Arabidopsis thaliana: one gene and its partner. The protein of the gene in region 1 interacts with the protein of each later gene in a pairwise test. Each region holds a gene or a part of one and is shown in the gene's direction. Other genes may lie near its edges.

Region 1 (6,397 bases):
TTTTTTTTTTTATGTCGGTAAAATTTAGTTACGGTATTTTTCTATATATTTATAAGAGTGGGCAAGGGTGAAAGTTAGAAGTCCCTAATTTATATCACAAGCTTGTTCGTTAATAACCCTAATTCTCTATGTGTATGACTATGATGTCCGATATCTCGCAGGATTTGTTAGAGGAGATTCTCTCTAGGGTTCCAATAACATCTCTGAGAGCAGTGAAATCTACTTGCAAACGATGGAAGGATTTATTGAATGATCCGAGCTTTTCAAAGAAGTATGGTGGTAAACGAGACAACGAGTTTCTGGCGATCATGACGAGTGGTAGTAGGGCTTCTTTAATGAGCGTAAATCTCCATGGACCTCGTGACAATAAAGACTTGGAAGATCCTTTTATAAAGCAAATAGGTGAACTTAATCAAGACCAGATATTTAAAGTGTTTCATTGTGATGGTTTATTGTTATGCATCACCAATGAGGATAATACTAGGCTCGTGGTATGGAACCCGTATTTGGCACAAACCAGGTGCATCCAACCCATCGACAAATTCTACATATATGATTGGTATTGTTTGGGCTACGACAAGGACAAAAACCACAAAATTTTAGTGGTTTATTCCCCTATGTTTGGCCGCATTGAGTATGAAATCTACAGTTTTTTGTCTAAATCATGGATAGTTCTTAGTTTCCCTACCGATTGGCAGATATCGCGTGATGAATGTCTGTCTCTGAAAGGAAATACTTACTTTATTGCTTATAAAAAAATGGAAGTGGAAGAAGTAGGGTTTCAAGAATTTTTACTCTGTTTTGATTTTACAAATGAGAGATTTGGACCGCTTCTCCCTCTTCCATTCCAATGTTATAATCAAACTTCTCTAGTTCTATCTACTGTTCAAGAAGAGCAGCTTGCAGTGTTATGTAAGAGGTGTGATGCATATGAGACGAAGATATGGATTACAACAAAGATTGAGCCCAATGCAGTGTCGTGGAGCTACTTCTTAAAATTTGATTTCAAGGTTGATATATCTGGTGGCAGTTTCTTCGTTGACGTGGAAGAGAAAGTAGCAGTGCTTTTTTGTATAAACAGAGAAAAAGAAAAAGGCATCAACAACAAGACATACATGATTGGAGAGGATGGATACTACAAAGAAGTGGATCTCGGAGAATCTAACTGGTGTCCATCTATGTGCTCTTATGTTCCAAGTTGTGTGCAAGTCTGAGTAATGTCGAGTATTAAATCTACCAGAATGTTATTTGTTTCTTGCATTTTCTTTTCATTCATTTACTCTTTTTGGCTTTTCATTCTTATAAATTACTGATTTAATTAGTTGATGAGACAAAAACTTGATTCTCGAAATAATTGTTTCTTGTTGGCATTTATTGGTAGCCACATTGCTTAGAAGAGTCCTTCAAATTCCCAATAACCTTTTGTTACTTTCTTCTTAGTCAATTCTTTTAAAAAAGACAGACAATTCATATGATGGAGGTGTCCTAAGACAAAGAGAGGGTGTCACGTTACAAAAAAAAGGATCGCTTTTGCGGCGACTCATTTAATGATTTAAACTCAGTCGATATCTATTTTGTAGTCGCTGCCAACCAAGTGCCGAACAGGGTCATATGTCAAATAACATAGTCTCTTAGCTCTTACAAAAAGACTGCTGAAAACTATATTAGCCTCCTAAGTGAAACATAGCAAGTGTTGAATTAAATAAGAAAAACAAATGTTGTGCCTGCTCTGTCTTGGAACAGAGCAAAAAATGCTTCTCGTTTCAGTTCCAGAAAATTTCTTAGCTTAAAGAAAAAACTCAATCGAGAATCCCATTACTAATTTTAATTCAGTAGCAACAACAGCTTTTTTCATGATATTTATTAAAAAGTGGAACGTTTTATCTAAGGAACCAAGCTTTACAAAGAAGCATTGTGGTAAAGCATCTGGTGATCATGTTGAATGATTTTAGGGCTTGTTTAATGAGCGTCAACCTCCATGGAATCCATGACCACAAAGACTTGGTAGATCCATCTATAAAAGAGTATGTAATTCATTTGTTAACGAACGTCTTTCACTGCGATGGCTTGTTGCTATGCGTCACTAAGGACAGCACTAGCCTCGAGGTGGATCAAACCAAGAAGTAGTTACCACAGACTAGAAAGGTATGCTCTTGGATACGACAACAACCGTAACCACAAAATATCGAGGTATTTATTTATTACGATCACAATGTTGCGCAACGAGTTCTTAAGTACGAAATCTTCGATCTTAAGTGTAACATATGAACGGTTCTTGATGTCACTCCTGGTACTGGTATATACTAAACTATAGTTTTCGGGGCGTGTCCGTGAAGGGTAACAATTACTTTGTTGCTCAGGAAAGATTGGAAGGAGTGATGACAAATGTTTCACTTTGCTTTGATTTTTACAAACGAGAGTTTTGGACCGAACATGCATCTGCCGTTTGAATCTTATCCTGACGATGCTGTGACTCTATCTTCTGTTAGAGAAGAAAAGCGTGTAGTGTTATTTAAGAGGTCGAATGCATGTGAGATGGAGATATGGATTACAACTAAGATTGACCCAACGCGGTGTCGTGGAGCTACTTCTTGAAACTGGATAGGTCAGTGTTCAATGAAAGATTGAGGAATATAGATGTGAGCTTATTCGTGGACGAGAAGAAGAAAGTAGCATTGGTTTTCTGTAAAGACAGAGAAGATTGGACCAACTTCACAGCTTATATGATTGGAAAGGATGGATACTACAAAGAAGTGTATCTCGGAGAATCTACTACATCTTGGCCATTTGTGTACTCTTATATTCCAAGTAGGCCCGGTCTCTACAAGGATGGTTTTTTGTTTAGTTTCTTGCATCTCTTTTTTAATTCATATATTAACTCTTTGGATTTTCTTGTTTAGTAGTCAGTCATTTAGAACAAACATGCATTACATTTAGATTCTAAAGATTTGCCTTCATTTGGATCCGCCTTTATGATAAGCACTAACCTCAAATATTGCAAGGGTATAAAATTTTCTCTGTTTGAAGTTAAATGCCTCAAAGCACAAAAGACCTTGTGATGAATTGTCGATGACAGACAAAGAGACTTTCTTGATTAACTAGTCTTCTTTAGGATCCAAGAAGAATAACAGATTTTCTCCTGTCTGTTATTGTATATAGTTCGTGTGTAAGAATTGCTTATCTGATCACGGAAACAGTACCCTAGCTAGTTACGTTTATCTCTGTTGCAAACTTTTTAAATGTTTAGTGGTGAACTAATTTTGAAAAATTCAAATGAAAAGGGTTGTTTTTGTTGTGGGCTTTCATTTAGTGGCCTAATTCTAAGAAGATACCTTGAAATGGTCGGTGCTGGTTTCATTCTATTCCATTAATATGATGGTTCCTGCTACATGCACAACATTTTAGTAACCCACCATTCTTTTCTTCACATTCTGGAAAATAATGCAGAAACTGAGATTGGTGCTCTGGTCCTTAGCCATGGCAAATATAAGCTAATGTGAGTTTCTTCATCGACCAAAGAGTAGAAAATCGCTGTGGTCTTTCATAAGAACGAATATAAAAAAAACATGTTAACCTCCTCCAAATGCATCACAGCTTATAATTTTTGTTATCACTTAGTCACATTAATACATTATCATACTTTAAAAATTTTGGATAACAGCACATCGACAAGCTAGTTTAGTAGAAATCACAAAGCATAATTTCAACTCTGCAAAGTTCTGATTTTAAAATTCGTAAATTTTTTACAGTTTTAATACCGAGAGCTTATCATATAAAGTCATGGCTCATTATTAATGTCGTTATTTTCGGATTTCTCTTTAATTGGCTAAAAAGCAAATAAATTAGGTAATTTAAATTCAGCTTAATTAGCCAATGAAAACAGAGTTAATGCAAAAGTTCATCAAACCTCCGAAAAAGCGAAAATTAAAAAAGATGAGCTCATCAGAATACCCCAAATCCAGAAACCCCACCCTTTCTTCAATTCTCACATCTCTCTCTCTTCGCTCTGAAGCAAAGACAAATATGCAAAATCCTCTCTGAACAAAATTCACTTTGGATTTGCAGAATTTATTTGCTCTAAGTTAGAGTGAGGAGAAGCAACTGCCAAATCTCTGTAATGCACTGTGAAGATCTCGAAGAACAACAAGACGAAGAAGAAGACGAAGCAGCGAGACATTTCTCGTAGATAATGGTGGCTGCGATTCCTCAAGGAGCAGCAATTTCCAACACCGACTCTAAGAATCCTCCACCTCGAGATCGGCAAGACAAACCTCAGCTCACAGCTAACAATGGCGGACTACAACGAAGACCTAGAGCTGCTAAAAATGTCCCCTCACGCTACTTATCCCCTTCTCCTTCACATTCCACGACGACGACGACGACCACTGCTACATCTACTTCGACTTCGTCTTCTTCGTCTGTGATACTGAGGTCTAGTAAGCGATATCCTTCCCCTTTGCTCTCTCGCACGACGAATTCTGCTTCTAATTTGGTTTATACGCCTTCCTCGTTACCTAAACGGTCTCAATCGGTGGACCGTCGTCGTCCGTCGGCAGTTTCTGACACCCGAACGGAAATGTCGGCGGCGACGAAGATGCTTATCACTTCTACGAGGAGTTTATCTGTTTCCTTTCAAGGAGAGGCGTTTTCGTTTCCGATTAGTAAGAAGAAGGAGACTGCCACGCCGGTTTCTCACCGGAAATGTACTCCGGAGCGGCGGAGAGCGACACCTGTTCGAGATCAGCGGGAGAATTCAAAGCCGGTGGATCAGCAACTGTGGCCTGGTGCTTCTCGGAGGGGAAGTTCTGAATCTGTTGTGCCGAATTCGCTTTCTAGAAGCGTGGATTCTGACAGTGATGATGGGAGGAAGCTTGGATCTGGCTTTGTGGGAAGGTCAATGTTGCAGCATTCGCAGAGTTCTAGGGTTTCTGGTGATGGGAGATTGAATTTAGGTTTTGTAGGAGGTGATGGAATGTTGGAAATGAGAGATGAGAACAAGGCAAGACAAAGCACACATCCAAGATTGGCTTCTAGCGTTTCGTGTGACTTTACTGCATCTGATACTGATAGTGTTTCATCTGGTAGTACTAATGGTGCGCATGAATGTGGTTCTGGTGAGGTTTCTAAAACAAGGAGCTTGCCGCGTAATGGTATGGCTTCTACTAAATTCTGGCAAGAGACTAATAGCAGGTTAAGGCGGATGCAGGATCCTGGCTCACCTCAATGTTCTAGCCCAAGTTCGAGAATCAGTAGTATCTCATCAAAGTTCAGTCAATCGAAACGGTTCTCTAGTGATAGTCCGTTGACATCATCTCCTCGTGGTATGACTTCTCCAATAAGGGGTGCTACTCGCCCTGCTTCACCAAGTAAGCTTTGGGCAACAGCTACATCAGCTCCAGCTAGGACATCATCTAGTCCTTCTCGAGTGAGAAATGGAGTTTCTGAACAAATGAATGCTTATAACCGCACCTTGCCTTCAATTCTTTGTTTCTCTGCTGATATTAGGAGGGGTAAAATTGGGGAGGATCGTGTTATGGATGCCCACTTGTTGAGGCTTCTGTATAACCGTGATCTGCAGTGGCGGTTTGCCAATGCGAGGGCAGACTCCACTCTCATGGTACAAAGACTGAGTGCAGAGGTATCCTTTCTTTTAGATTACCGCATTAATGCTTAATAATTGAGTTTATGATTGTGTCATGTGTGTGCCTGCTGATTGTAATTGTCTTTAGTTAGCCACTGCAGCAGACTTAGGAAAATCATTATTGGTATTTTACTTTTAGCCACTGATGCAATGCAAATGCTTAAGCCTCTAAAGTACGCATTTCTTTCGTGATAATGCTAGAAACACGATTTGTATTTTACCAACAGGGAAGACTTATTAATACTTCTCTGGTAAGAGGAGATCTGATGCTAAGCCTCTTGGACCTAGAATAGTGTTTAATTTAGTTTCTACGTTTTGGATTGTGCTGCATGCTAACTTTTGCCTGATGCTGATGTGATGACATAGATGAAAATATGAATGGAGTAAGCATTAACACAGTTATGAAGTCTAGATATCGTTATGATAGGATACTCTTTTAGAAAGTTGAGTTATTGATTTTGTCCAATAAACTAGACACATTCTGGTGAACTCATTTTTTCTTTTCTTGACAGAAAATCCTGTGGAATGCATGGGTATCAATCTCGGAATTGCGCCATTCTGTCACTCTGAAACGGATCAAGTTGCTCTTGATGAGGCAGAAACTGAAACTAGCTTCCATCTTGAAGGAGCAGGTGAGAATATGAACTTCTAGCAACTTCATAATTTTAATTCTTTGAACAAGAAACTTTTTCATGTTTATATTCTTAGCTTAAATTTAGTGGCACCATTCAAGTTTTGAGACTAAACAAGTATCTT
Region 2 (6,397 bases), 1.2 Mb from region 1:
CCCTCTCTTTGTTTTGCTATCACTAGAAGGATGGCCCAACAGGTGTTTTAAAGTAAGACTCTGGAAACTAACATGATTCAATTATCATCTGACATAGCTTCTCAGGAAAAACCTTCACTATACTTAGACCCCTGCCCGTTTCTCTCCCATGTTTCTCTGTGATTTTGTAAATTTAAAATTGCTATGACTTAGCATAGAATAATTTATAACTCTGGTTTGAGCTCTGATTTCAATACCTTACAATATCAGAATCTAGGCAACAGTGGTGGTCTAAGAAGTATATAAGCTTCTTTAACATAACTTTGTTGGGCCACCATCTTCTCTGGTCTTTTCTCTAGGAATCTCAGCTTCTATTTTTAGAACTTGTGGTTAGGCTAATGATGGGTGTGCAAGTACATGTATCTAGTTATTAGCCTATATCGTGTAACAACACTCAATGACACATTTTGTCTGCCTTCATTTTGATTTCTATATATAATTACAGAACTAGGACTCACTGGTGGGAAATCGAAGTCGTTGTATGGAAGAGAGGGTCATTTGGGAATTACCCTGTTCAAGTTTGCTGGAGACGATTCAGGGCTCAGGGATGCTATGAGAATGGCAGAATATTTTGAGAAGATAAACCGTGGGCGTAAGAGTTGGGGGAGGGTACAGCCACTCACTCCAAGCAAAGATGATGAGAAAAACCCTGGTCTTGTCGAGGTTGATGGGAGGACGGGAGAGAAAAAGAGGATCTTTTATGGTTATCTCGCGACTGTAACGGACTTGGACAAAGTCGATGTGGAGACAAAGAAGAAAACCACAATCGAGAGCCTTAGAGAACTCACAAGAACAAAGTAAATTACAGTTTTCTTCTCCCACGAAAGGTACACTTAACTTTCGAGGTATTTGTTGCCTATTGAATCTGGATTCTTAGTCGCAACCTAAAAAACTCGAAAGGAGGAACGAAAGTTTTTTTTTTTTTTTTTTTAATTTATAGATGAAGTCTTGGTCTCTTTGATCCTTCGATTCAGTGTTCATATTGCATAGTCTAATATCGGTTGAACCTGATATATACAAGTTCTCTTTACCAACATCCTTAGAAGTATATTGTGATAGTTGCTTGATGCTTTTGATGTCCCTGTTGATTCTCCTACGTTCGTTTCTTCTTTCCTTGTTCTATCTCATCCTTTCGAATAGTGGTTCCTGCTTGTTCTTTAGGCTTTAGCCAGCCTATGGAAATGAGAATATTGAACCAACCAAACAATGTTGCCATAGTGCCATTGTATTGATGATGTCTATGACATTGAGTTATTGTTTTTGTTTGCACTCTGGTAGTAGCTTTATGTATTTGGTCACCTTAGATTGGTGACAACAATGGTGGTGTTTAGTTTAAGCTAGCTATCTTCTTTGAATAAAAAAAAATAAAAAAAAAATTATAAATTGGTATGAAAACAAAAATAAACATTAGATAAGAGGACTTGTATTTTGTGGGGGCTTTTGGTAACCACTATATAAATTTTGTTTTGTCTTTGTTTATAACTCTTTAATTGACAAGTTAGGTATAAAGTGTTTTGACGATTTTTTCCCCTCTACTTTCTTGTGTTCTGATAAACTTTATTACATGTCTTCATTCAAATCTTTGGTTCGCTCTGGCTTACCAATTTACACGTTTTGTTAAAGGAAGTTTGATCAGCTTCGGTTTAGGCCGTGTGATTAAGAATTTAAGATAAACCTTAACACTTATGAAAGTAATCAAGCACTATCCGGTAGTGAAAGTTAATATAACATATAGGATTATAGTTTGGCCAATATCATAACAACTAGGATATAATTTTATGAATGTACAATATGCAGGACAAAGTACTTTGTATCTTTTGATAGAGTTACATGCACTATAAGAGAATTAAACATATTAGAAAAAAGACTAGATTATGTAAAATGTCATAATCATATTACTATAAGACTAGCTAGACTGAGGTCAAATCAATGCATAAATTTAAATCATTATCTCTTTTGAATTCGATTATCTCCCTCACATTTTTCAAATTTCTCTACTCACTTTTTCTATAAAGCGGAAACAGTAATCGGCGGTTCATATGTAGTCGGCCATTACGGACCCATTTAATTAGATAAATTATTCTTAGCCGTCAGTTTCATATTTCGTCTCATTCTAATTTTGTAATGTTTCTCTAACCTTTTTGTAACTATAAAATCATACTCTAATAGCAAGAGGTCTAAAAGAGTAATGGATATTTCCCCTCAATAATGTGTTATATGTCACTGTCCCGTTTTAACATTTTGTACATATCAACAGAAAAAAGTTTTTATGATATATCCATTCCACTGATGTCAAAAAAGCAATAGCTTTAATAAAACCAAATTCAAAATTTCGTTTTTATTCTATTCTTCTGTTTTGATATCACAAAGATATTAAAAACATAGTACGAAGATTAGTTTTATATGTGTACTAATGAATCTTCTTTGTGGTTGCTTCATTATCACGTTTTAACATTTGTCACGCGTGCCCTGATTTCATTACAGCCTTTTCTACAAAACACATGCATTGTTCTTCTTCTTACATTACTACATTACACTACACAAAGAATTTCATATTAATTATAACAACATTTTTTTTTTTTTGCTATACTATATAGTTTTTTGTTATTCAATTGGTATTTTACCGGCAATGCTTCACTGGTTTCCGACTCAACGCATGTGGTGGTCAGTGGGCTTGGCCCACTTATCTCTTTCACCTTTTTTTTTCTTTATACGAAAAATTAAAGCAAAGCTATAGTAATAGTACTTATTATTATTACCACGTCATCACCCAACTCTCTTATACTACGCATATCACGCTAAGCTACGCGTCGACGGCGCAATATAGAAGAATATGTAATAATCGCGCCTTTAATCAGACTCCACTGAGACGTGTCGCTATTTCGAGTTGTCCACGTCACTGTTTCTTTTGTCTCTTATCTTCTTCTTCGTCTCTTTACTTTTTTCCCATTTCTAGGGTTTCTTCAATTTCACTCTCTCTCTTGAGTTTATTCTTCTCTGCTGTATCAATCAAATCAACGGAGTTTGAGTTTCTTTTCCGATTCCGGCGATGGGGTCAGTCCCCGATCCAGGCGAGTTAACTGAGTTAGCTCAGCCGAGTTTCGAGGAGTTTCAGAAACAGACGTCGTTGATGACTAGCTGTACTCTTCTATGGCAAGAGCTCTCCGATCACTTCACTTCTCTAGAGCAGAATCTGATGAAGAAATCTGAAGCGTTGAAGCAGATGATTGAAACTCTAGATAACCAGACTCAGACCTCGCTCGAGTCTCTGAAGCGTAGAGAGGTAACAATCGACCATAGCGTTGAGATCGTAGCTGGGAAAGTAGGTGAACGAGCTAGAGCTGCTCTTGAATCGTTAGAGAAAGCTAGAGATGGTTGTGGTGATGGTTCTAATGATGATTCCGGTGATGTTGACGATGAAGAAGGTCTTCTTTCTGCTTTGAAATCTCTTTGTCTTAAAATGGATGCGAGAGGTTTTTGGAACTTTGTGACGGCGAGGAAGAAGGAGTTGGAGAATCTCCGGTCAAAGATTCCGGCGGCGTTGGTTGATTGTGTAGATCCGGCGATGTTAGTGCTTGAAGCGATATCTGAGGTTTTTCCGGTGGATACAAGAGGAGATAAAGTTAGCAATGATTATGGATGGGCTTGTGTTGTGATTCTTGAGAGTTTAACACCTGTAATTGTTGATCCAGTGATTGGGAAATCGAGGTTGCTTGTTACTCCGAGTGTTAAGGAGAAAGCTAAGGAGATTGCTGAGACGTGGAAGAAGAGTTTGGAAGAGAGAGGAAGGATAGAGAATGTGAAGACTCCTGATGTTCATACGTTTTTGCAGCATCTTGTTACATTTGGAATTGTTAAAAGTGAAGATCTTGCTTTGTATAGAAAGCTTGTTGTTGGATCTGCGTGGCGTAAACAGATGCCTAAGCTTGCGGTTTCTGTTGGTTTGGGTGATCAAATGCCTGGTAATCCTCTTAAGCTCTTATCTTCTACCTATTAGTTTTTTATCCTGGCATGCTCATTGTAACTTGTGAGATCATATATGGTTTTGAAATTGGCTAGTTTACTAATAGTTTAACCCATCTAGATGTATAGTTTTGGTAGGTTACAAATAGTTTACGAGTTGATTAGTCGAATATTAAGTTTGTGTGGCAAACATTGTATGGCATAGATTGTGGTGAAGTCTGAGACATTAGTGGTACAAGGTGTTATTGACCACAGACTGTGTGAAGTTGAAGCCTTTTTCTCTGTATCTCGTTTTATAATATCTGAACTTACAAGTTGTTGCGCTGTCCACAGACATGATTGAAGAATTAATCAGCAGGGGACAACAGCTTGATGCTGTTCATTTTACTTATGAAGTTGGGCTTGTGGATAAGTTCCCTCCTGTTCCTTTGCTCAAAGCTTATCTAAGGGACGCAAAGAAGTCAGCAGCTTCTATCATGGAGGACTCTAGCAATACTGGCCGAGCTACGGTATCTACTCATTGCATCTACTCATTTCTATCGCAGCTAAATATTTTTATCTGTGCGTCCCTGAAAGTTAATATCTTCCTTGTTATGTTTTCTTCCTAAGCATCTCGTGGCGCGCAAGGAGCAATCAGCACTTAAGGCGGTTTTAAAATGCATAGAAGAGTACAAACTCGAGGAAGAGTTCCCTCCAGAGAACCTCAAGAAACGGTTGGATCAGCTAGAGAAGACCAAAACCGAGAAGAGAAAGCCAGCAGCTGTTCCTGCCAACAAAAGAACCCGAGCCAGCTACAACGGTCCAATGCCACCAGCCAAAGCCGGGCGTATCACAAACGCATACGTCTCTTCCTTCCCGTTCATCAGATCACCCTCTCACTCTCCTCAATACGCTTCACCAGCAGCTTACCCATCCCCACCTACAACAGTCTACAGCAACAGAAGCCCACCTTATCCATACTCTCCGGAGATCATCCCAGGCTCATACCAAGGCTCTCCTATCGGTTACCCAGCGTACAACGGTTATTGTAATGGTCCAGTTCCTGCTCCAGCTCCTCCAGTTTACCACCCACACCATCATCAACACCACCAATTCCACCATCAGCAACATTACTACTGAATTAGAAGACAGTGTGACAACAAAACAAGGAAGAAGATTGGTAATAACCAACAAATCACTGATACTGTGACAACTGCTACTACTCTGGTGTTCTCTCTCTCTGGGTCTATTGTCTTCCTACGTCGTCGTTTTTGTCTGTAATATCTCTTTCTCAGCCTAACTCTCTTAGTAACTTAGCTTATATCCTCTGGTGTGTTTATTATTAATCGCATATAAAACAAAACTCAAGCTTTTGTAATGTCTAATATTCAGTCAACAAACTTATATTTCTGTACTCTGTTAATCGAATGACAAACTTCTCTTCGTCACCAACTATCTCCGATCAAATCTAACATCGGAGGTCGTTGCTTTGAAGACATACCCACCAGTTCTCTGTTGAATTGCATTTCTTCTTCATTGAGCAAAGTGGTGATTCAATTTCGGTACAAGACACAAAGCCAGTGGTGAGAAATTTCTCTTTACCAACCTTGCACACCAGATGTTCGACGATATGTCTCTTTGAAATCTTACCGTTTAGTTTTCACGTGCGTTTTCAGAATTGGTCTCTTTTCCTTCAATGGCTTTGATGGTTTTGAGAAGAAAGTGTCTCCGTTTGCCAGATTTTATCTCCGTTTTTCGACCTGCACCGCGTTGCTTCTCCTCGAGATTTTCCAACAGTGAAAGTGGTAAAGTTACAGTGACTGGTTTGAGTGGTTGTGGTATAGAAACTGTGGATGATGATGTTTGGCATGTTTCATCATCTTTATCCCAAGCTTGGAGACAGTTCCAAGCAGACACTGCAAAAAACTCTCCCGTTACAATACAAGGAGTAAGAGAAACAATACTCGATGATGAAGATCCCGATCACGATGAAATCGATAACATGAGAATTCGCGGTGATCTTTTCTTCAAGCTCGATCGAGGTTCAAAAGAATTCGAGGAATACAACTATGACTTCCACCGCAAGAATCAACACAAGAACGCTAAAAAGGAGCAAAACCAAGAAGAAGAAACAAAGATAAAGAAGGATAACAAGAAGGAAGTTCGTGACGAATACAAGAAGAGAAATGACTCTTTCACAGGTGAGACGGATCATCCTAATGAAGCTGTGAAGAAGAGAGAAAGAACATTTACGTTTAACCAACTCACGGCGCCATTTCACTACCCGTTTTGCTTAGACATATACATCTCGAAAGAGTCTGTACGAGCATGTGTGATTCACAGGGTGACTAGTAAGGTTGTAACTGTGGCTCATTCGATTTCAAAAGACATGAAATTCGATCTTGGTTCGAGAAGA

The links. Proteins that work in one complex are often made in the same cells at the same time.
Region 2: the proteins of SCO3 (region 1) and AT3G22440 interact in a two-hybrid assay, tested with the Arabidopsis thaliana proteins (one large-scale study listed by BioGRID).

The regions. Positions count from the first base shown.
Region 1 is NC_003074.8:6,793,589-6,799,985, forward strand, and holds the start of SCO3 (SNOWY COTYLEDON protein (DUF566)), read left to right. Parts: upstream 1-3,882; 5' UTR 3,883-4,189; coding exon 4,190-5,638; intron 5,639-6,153; coding exon 6,154-6,273; intron 6,274-6,397. Other genes in the region: AT3G19560 (F-box family protein), read left to right, coding at 129-1,214; AT3G19565 (F-box/associated interaction domain protein), read left to right, coding at 2,434-2,573, 2,606-2,832, 3,311-3,318. UniProt on the Arabidopsis thaliana protein: Probable microtubule-associated peroxisomal protein required for chloroplast biogenesis and for the formation of the prolamellar body and prothylakoids in etioplasts.
Region 2 is NC_003074.8:7,956,766-7,963,162, forward strand, and holds AT3G22440 (FRIGIDA-like protein), read left to right. Parts: upstream 1-2,987; 5' UTR 2,988-3,088; coding exon 3,089-4,001; intron 4,002-4,335; coding exon 4,336-4,511; intron 4,512-4,611; coding exon 4,612-5,121; 3' UTR 5,122-5,606; downstream 5,607-6,397. Other genes in the region: AT3G22430 (RNA recognition motif XS domain protein), read left to right, coding at 485-840; AT3G22436 (uncharacterized protein), read right to left, coding at 1,133-1,255; AT3G22450 (Ribosomal L18p/L5e family protein), read left to right, coding at 5,678-6,397.